Bombyx mori: one gene and its partner. The protein of the gene in region 1 interacts with the protein of each later gene in a biochemical or structural test. Links are inferred from orthologs where the notes say so. Each region holds a gene or a part of one and is shown on either strand. Other genes may lie near its edges.

Evidence for each region.
Region 2: the proteins of egl nine homolog 1 (region 1) and peptidyl-prolyl cis-trans isomerase FKBP8 form a complex in vitro, tested with the Homo sapiens proteins (2 studies listed by BioGRID, with this or other methods). The link is inferred for Bombyx mori from reciprocal best matches to the Homo sapiens genes EGLN1 and FKBP8.

The regions. Positions count from the first base shown.
Region 1 is NC_085131.1:9,875,752-9,879,584, reverse strand, and holds part of egl nine homolog 1, read left to right. Parts: intron 1-248; coding exon 249-388; intron 389-982; coding exon 983-1,099; intron 1,100-2,656; coding exon 2,657-2,768; 3' UTR 2,769-3,833. UniProt on the Homo sapiens protein: Cellular oxygen sensor that catalyzes, under normoxic conditions, the post-translational formation of 4-hydroxyproline in hypoxia-inducible factor (HIF) alpha proteins.
Region 2 is NC_085125.1:9,573,457-9,577,939, reverse strand, and holds the start of peptidyl-prolyl cis-trans isomerase FKBP8, read right to left. Parts: upstream 2,971-4,483; 5' UTR 2,787-2,970; intron 2,643-2,786; coding exon 2,451-2,642; intron 2,041-2,450; coding exon 1,897-2,040; intron 863-1,896; coding exon 600-862; intron 1-599. UniProt on the Homo sapiens protein: Constitutively inactive PPiase, which becomes active when bound to calmodulin and calcium. Seems to act as a chaperone for BCL2, targets it to the mitochondria and modulates its phosphorylation state.

The DNA of each region.
Region 1 (3,833 bases):
TCAAAACTAAATAGGAAATTTGCACACGCATCAAGGACCAATGGAAGTACAATAATTTTAACTTCGCTCTGATGTTCGGGCCAGTATCAAAATGTTGAAAAAAAGATGAGATTAATTATTGTTGGTTTGGTTTTTAACCGTATTTATGCGTGTTTTTTTTAAAGGTTTTAAACAACATATTATGTTATTTGTTAGTGCTGTGGTAATCAAACAACATGTAATTAATTAATTAAAATAATTCGCTACAGGCCATGGTAGCGTGCTACCCAGGACTTGGCAGCCATTACGTGAAGCACGTAGACAACCCCAACAAAGATGGCAGGTGCATCACCGCCATATATTATCTAAACCTGGACTGGGACGTGAAACGATACGGTGGACTACTCAGGTAAATAAATATATGTAGTTGCTTTAATAATTTTATTCTAAGCACAGTTATAATATGGTAGGACCTCTTATGAGTCCACACGGGTAGGTACCACCGCCCTGCCTATTTCTGCCGTGAAGCAGTAATGCCTTTCGGCTTGAAGGGTGGGGCAGCCGTTGTAACTATACTGAGACCTTAGAACTTATATCTCAAAGTGGGTGGCAACCATTTAAGCAATAAAAATTTTTTATCGCGGCATTGGATTGGTCACACATTAAGAAAGCCTGCTATCCACCAATCCAAGAGAGCACTGACCTAGACAGTGTCTGGCAAAACGAAGAGAGGCCGGCCCAGAACAACTTGGTGTCGCTCGATGGAGGAACTGGGCGTCTTGGGCATGACATGGGAGGAGTTAGAACAGACTGCCCAAGACCGATGCAAATGGATGAATTTGATTCGAGCCCTACACCCCAACAGAGGGTAATAGGAAAGAAAGAAGATTTTTTTTAAAAACATCGTAGCAAAAACAGTAGATCTAAAAAGAAATAGACAGCATCGAAAATATTACATATTTTTGTAGCTTAGCTAAATTGCATTAATAATAATTGGTTCCAGGGTGTTCCCGGAAGGTACCAATCAAGTGGCCGATATAGCACCGATATTCGACCGGATGCTTTTCTTCTGGTCGGATCGCCGAAACCCACACGAAGTCCAACCCGCCTACAGCACCAGGTATTACTAGACATGTGAAATATTTCATTCCAATAGATTCTCGACGTACGATTTTTAAGATGAAAAGAAACAACAAATATAGGAACTACTAGCTGTACCTGTCCGTTTCGCTGGGCATTTATAATTAACATTATTATTTCTCTCCCCCACAAAGATTCTCATCATTAACGCCTCCGCAACTGATGTAGGGAGTCCAAAACTCATATAAATATTAGCCTATCCATTAAGTACATGTATTTTCTACATGGATACCAAGTTTGAAGTCAATCGGATGCACGGTTCAGTAGTTATAACGGAACATCCGTAAAAACCACTATAGATTTTTATATTAGTATAGATTATCATACATTTTTAATCCACTTTAGATTTGCATCTACATCAAACTACTTTTCTTAAACTTAAAGTACTTTTCAAAGTATATTTCTGTATCATATGATATTCTGTGCATGAAATCCACACTGAATATTATAAAAGCGAAAGTGAATTTGCTTGACACGCTTTCGCATCTTAACTACTCTACCGATCAACATGACTACAACGATGGCACCAGCCACAGCGCAGGGCATTGTGCTCGTCGAAGAGTTCGAGCTGATACTTTGCCCGTGACGTCATCTCCTTAGGGTGCAAGTCTTCCTTCGGAAGTGCTCAGATAGCGATTCATATTCACAGTAAAAATATTATTTCGTAGGGAGGTATTTTTTCTATGTATTAACGCAAATGAAAGCCTCCGTTAAAGCTTACTTATCTGTGTGCTTAGTGCGAGTTTTTTAACGTACTCGATAGCGTAAAAGGTTAATTTGTATAGAGTTGAAACGTTTACCTACGTTTGCCGCTAGGGGCGCTGTTCCAAGCTGCATACAAATTTGAATTAACTCTTACGCTATCGAGTACGTTAAAAAACTCGCACTAAGCATACTGTATAGCCTTAAGCCAACCACAAAACTATAGATAAGACGACGAATATAATACCGATATGTTTAAAACCGAACGAATGTATTCCGAACGACAATCATCAGTAGCTTAATGACTAGTAAATCATTATCAGTAAACAACGCGTATTATGTCGGAATTCTGTCGCATAAAGGAATGTGCAAAACAGCAAGGCGATTGCATGCAGCAGAGATGCGAATGTTGCGATGGATGTGTGGAGTAACGAGAATGGATAGAATACGGAATTAATATGTTAGAGGAAGTCTGAAAGTGGCACCTGTGACAGAGAAGCTGAGAAGTGCGCGTTTGGGATGGTATGGATATGTGATGAGACGAAATGAAAAATAGATTGGTAAGAGAATGTTAACTATGAATGCGGAAGGATATAGAGGAAGAGGTAGATCTAAGAAGAAATGGATGGATTGCGTGAAAGACGATATGGGTGAGAAGAGAGTGAGTGAAGAAATGGTATATGATAGAAGAGTATGGAAGGAGAAAACATGTTGCGCCGACCCTAGGTGTCTGGGAGAAGGGCAGGATAGTTATATGAAAGGAATGTGCAAAACAAGTGCTTTATCACACTTAATACTAAGTATCCGATTATATTCAAATCACCATTCGTTACAGATACGCAATAACACTGTGGTACTTCGATGCTCACGAACGAGAAGAAGCCCTTAGGAAATACAGTAAGTATAGATGTTTAGAAAATTTGACCTTTAATGTTTTTTGTTTTTAATGTTGCGGCTTTTAGTCCTTGAAGTCAAATTTCACATTACTCTGTCGTGAACCATGAATTTCAATTGTGTTGTAAAGTAGCTGTATTGCCCTTCAGTCGGGAACTAGTTTTGCAACAGACATGAGTTAATGCTACCTACCTTTGAAGAATCAGAATACGGCCAATGAAATAACTAATCGTTAGAAAATAATCCTTGTAAAATAGTGTGTATTTTGAGTTTAATTGATTTCGAAAAATTCCGGGAAGCCGTGCCCAGGGATTCTGTATGATTCTTCTACGGTTTCAGAAAATCTTCGTGGCCTAAAAATAATACGATCGTATCGAGCGATACGACTGTACCGGTATTTGAATCCCGCCCAATTTTTCTAATGAAATATGTACGTACTTAACAAATTCTCACGAATGTCTTCCACGATGAAGGAATAACATCGCGTCATAAAAATTTAACCCGCAATAATAATAATGCTCCAGTAAACACTTAACATTAGGTGGGCTGTGAGCTCGTTCATCCATCTAAGAAACAAATCAATAAATAAAAACAAACAGTTCATTAGTCATTGTTATTGCAGCGATATTGCCTTTTGAACATAGCTTTTGAAAAAGTACTTTTCCAATGCTCTATTGGTATCTGAACCTCATATAGTAGGTAGCACCTCGTAGTTTGCCTATTACTCACTGGGCCATTATCTCATCTACTTAACCACGCTATAAGATGCTGAAATGTTTGCTTTAATCAAGTGCATAAGAGCATAAGTGCGGGACGTCCTTAAGAATATCGTAGACAAGAATTCTGATTACATTTTCCTTGTTTGATTTCAAAGGGGAAAACCGTAGTAATATTGCGCAACACAGTGCGCCTTCTCGATGCACCTCTATAATGTTTCTGACACACGATTTGCGTGCAAATAATTTTTGTATGCATAAAATTGCCCAAGCGAAATAAAAAACACATTAGCTGTTTGTAATTTCCCAAAATACGTTAACATACTTTACATACGCGACACATAATACGTTTTCGTTATTATATTTTACTATAGCTGACCCGGCAGACTTCGTAGTGCCTCA
Region 2 (4,483 bases), on another chromosome or scaffold:
ACCAACTATTGCAACATTTGGTGGGACCTTGATAATATTATTCTGAGCTATATCAACATTATTCAAGGGCATTATGAAATCAACGTATTTGCTAATTTAGACTACAAAATTAACATAATTGAATATTTTAGGTATAAAATCATAATTAAAAAATATAAGTTAGAGGCCCATTGTGAGTCAGAAAGGGTAGTCAACACCATTTATGTCTGAATCATGGAACAATAAAAAGGCTGTTATACAATACTATTGACACTTCAATCCCATATCTCAAGGTGGGTGGTGGCATTCTGGTTTTAAAACTAAAGACCAGGTGAGCTAGGAGCTCATTAACCTATGCATTAGTAGTGCAGTGCCGTAGTATATATTTTAAATAATACACAAGCTTTATTCTGTGGATATTCTAATTATGAACTTAAAATCCAACAACTATTGTAATTCAACATAACTTTCATGAGTTTTTCTTTGCTTACGTATCCTACTGGTAAAATCATAATAGCAACATTAAATTGAAATATTTTTTTTTAGTTCTATTTTAGTTTAGCTATAAATTAAAAGTAGAAAATTATATTATAGTTGAAACAGAAACATAAATACATTACCCGATTTCCATTTTTTCCGCTATTGACAATACATCGTGTTCAGGTTCTTCTGACCAATCATGCAGCACTAATTTGGCTTCAAGCCATGTGTCTGGTCCAATAATAGGTCCTTTATACTTGGGTTCATCACACTGTCCGACTAATCCAAGGCTCTCACCTGGTTTAAGTCCCATTTCTCCATAGGCAAATCTTGGAGCAAGTTGCAAAATACATTCCTCACCTCTGTACATTAAAGTTAATGCTAGGTCCAAACCTTGCAATACCTAAAATATTAAATTTATTTAATGAAACAGTTTCAGTTGTTTTAGTTAAAATAATTTTACTCAATTATATAGAAGAGATATTATTTAGGAACAAAACTGCCCTAGATACTTTTCGTCTATAATTAGTTTATAGTTGCTGTAATGTTTATGGTTATTTTTTGTTGGTTTGCAATATGTATAGAGTGCAAGGGAACACATTCCTAAAAAGAAAGACAGTAGGTTAGTGGAACCTCTCAGAAGAAAACTGCAAAAATATGATTTAATTCTTAAATTCTCAAAATCAATAAATACATCCTATAAATACCCATAAATAATAATGATTATGAAACAATATAAATACATCTTACTAAAAAAAATATAAAGTTACAAAATCATTCATTTCTGAATAAAATTATATTTTTGAATATTTTTAACTGACATATAGATTTCAAATGCTATTCATCACTTTTGCAAAACTTTCATGCATTCATTTCTATAGTCTTAAATTTTATAAGATGCAAACAAAAATTATCTAATCAATATGGCCATCATATTACAGTATATAAAGTAATGCATATAAGTAAATCAAGGAAAAGATATCGCTCACAACAGATTTCTGATAAGAACAAATAATAGATCTTTAACACAAAAATATACCTAAATTTAAAACATTTTTAGTCTTTGCATCACCTACTTTACAAGATACTTTTTACTATAAACCCTCAAAGGCAGAAACTGATAAAATGTACTAAATATATTCATAATCCCAAAAATTATCATCAATATATTATCTGTGAATAATAAGAAACAAGAACTTCTGGAAATGACAAAGCTTCATATTAGCAGCCCTAAAGCTTTTTTTTAATCATCTTCACACAGATTATTCATAATTATTAAATTTGTTTTGGAATGTCTATCGCTAGTACATGGGTGATAAACCTCATCATCCAACCACAAAACCAAAATCAGTGTCAACATTAATGACTCTAGGATTATTTCAGTTCACTTCAAAAAACTTTATTAGATAATATATATTAGAATCAGTTTTAACTCACCTCATTGTCTCCTAAATATATTTTTATCTGATCTCTTTTCTCCACAATGTTGTTACTGTCTTTTATTTTGAGTTCATAGCTGATTCTGCATATGTCCCCTCTTTGTGGTCTGGATCCAGATATTTCATCCCCTTGTTTCAATATCTGCAAATGGGAGTTTCTTTTGCTTTGAAATGTAGCAAATGTTCCACAGTAGAATACTCTTGTAAGTTTTAGTCAATTGATGCAATTTCCGAGGTGATTTTACTACTTTATGCATTTGATTTTAACCATTAAACATTTTCTTCTTTTTATTAAGACTTTGGATACAAGTTTCCTTGTTTAATTTGGAATAAAAAATTAAAAGCGGAAAATATATTTGAAATATTTTAAATTTGCCTCATGTACAGTTATTTTTTTTTATATTAAAATTATGGGTTTTAGTTTTTTTTATCCCATTATAAAAACTTTTCGGTGAATAAATCGTTAAGTAATGAACGAAATTAAATTTTTATTTATTTAATCTATTGATTTAAAGAAGAAGTTTAGATTAATATTTTTAAACTTTAAGCAACCTTTTTAAGCAGAGCTCCGGACCCAAGAACATCTTGCCATTCGTCATTCTTTACTTCTGGGGATTTTTCCTTCTCTGCTGCGGCAGCTTCGGCAAGTTTCGCTTCCTCGATCTCCTCAGCAGCCGCAGCCGCTAAGTCTTCGAAAGAGCTGCTTTCAGACTTGTCCGTCAAAGCTTTGCTTTCTTCACTCATCTGTAAATAAAGCGTGGTGTTTGTTCGATCGTAAAGATAATACGTAGTTAATGTTTATCATTCAATCAACTATTTTCATGTTGAAAAACATCTTATCGACATCGCAACTTGAATTTATCAAGAGGACATTTATCTTACTCTTACCTTTAAAAGTTTCTAGAAAGCGAAAGTAACAGATAATATTTATATATTAACACACAACAAAACTAGGTAACAAGTAGGTACAAATAAATCAGAGAATATTTGACAGTATGACAATTCAAGTTTTTGGCTTTGATTCAGTGTGACCACTAGATATGTGTCGTTCGTTCAATTTTAGAGATTCAGATCAGTACCGGTAAAATGGGGCGATTAGGGATTGAAAGGCGAATCGGGAAAAAACCGGGAAAATCTTTCGACGCTCAATATAAGTTTTATATTCGTTGCAAAATCTTCCATTTTTTTGTAGTTTAATAGTAGAATGTTGAAAGTTCACAAAACAACTCTGAATATGCATGATAATAGCTGCTAACTTATAAAAAATCGCGTTTCAAATTAACTTCCTGTGGTGGTAATTATTTTAGTGCTAGAAACTTTGCTCTCTTTTATTTATTTGATAATAATAGAAGACGACTATGATTTATAAACGTTATTTAGTGTTTGAACCAGCATATATATTAAAGGTAAGTCTCAGTTGTTATTGGTTTTAATGTATTTGATTAAATAAAAATACATGTAAAAATCTGTTGTTCTTGGGGATATTGGGGACGTCTTAGGTACAAATAACAACGAAAAAGGGGTCAATTGGGATGAGAATACGTGAAATGGAAACGACCTAAGTATAAATAGGTACAGGTTTGTAGGGTTGTCTATGTAGTTATAACAATCTTTTTTAAATTTGTTGGTAAAAATCTGGTTTATCGAAGCGAAATTGGGAATAAGTCTTTAGTTGAAATAGATAAGCAATTTAATATAAGTAAGTCGATTTTGCAGAGACATGTAACAAGATCAATGAAATCTCAAGGTGACAAAAATGTTTCAGTAATACATAATAGAATATTTAATATTTGTTCAGAGTGGGGGTATTCATCTGATTAATCCATGGAATAACCGACACACCTAATCTCTTAACCCAGATAGAAATATCAGCCCCCTAAGTACTTACCAAGAACGGAGAAATATAAACCGTTTCTAAGAAAGCCCACTATATATGTGTAAATATATATATATATATATATATATATTTTGTTGTTACTGCACTGTCGATTGCACCTATAATTGAGGTGATGTCTGCCATGTACTTTTGTCAGTTTTTCAATTTTTTTTATTGATGATCACTTTGTTGGTGCAACTAAATAAATAAATAAATTAAAACTATATATAAAAATAAAAGTAGTGCCAACCCTAGCAAATTTCTCATTTCGTCCCAATTAACCGCAATTTTCGGGTAAATAGGGATTACACCTATTTTTGCATTTTTTGCTTAAACTGGAATGCTAGTTGCTTATTTTTAAATTAGACAACAAAGATGCCCCCAAGACTCAATCATTTTGATCCTGATATAGCATTATATACATCAACAACTACCTTAAAATTGCTCATAAAGTTGGAATTTGTCCCTAATCGCCCCATTTTACGGTACTGACCTGTTGACAAAATGATCCGGTTCGTACGACCCGTTCAGTCGAACGTTTGGGTTACCGTTTATTACATCAATTTATGACGTAAATAATATTATCAGGTTACTGGCTGGATAAAGTTTAGTATTGAATAACAGCTTAAAGGAACTGTTATAGTTCGATTGTTTACGTGAGATCAAAACAATCCAAATGCTTTATGCGACATTATGTGACAACGAACGA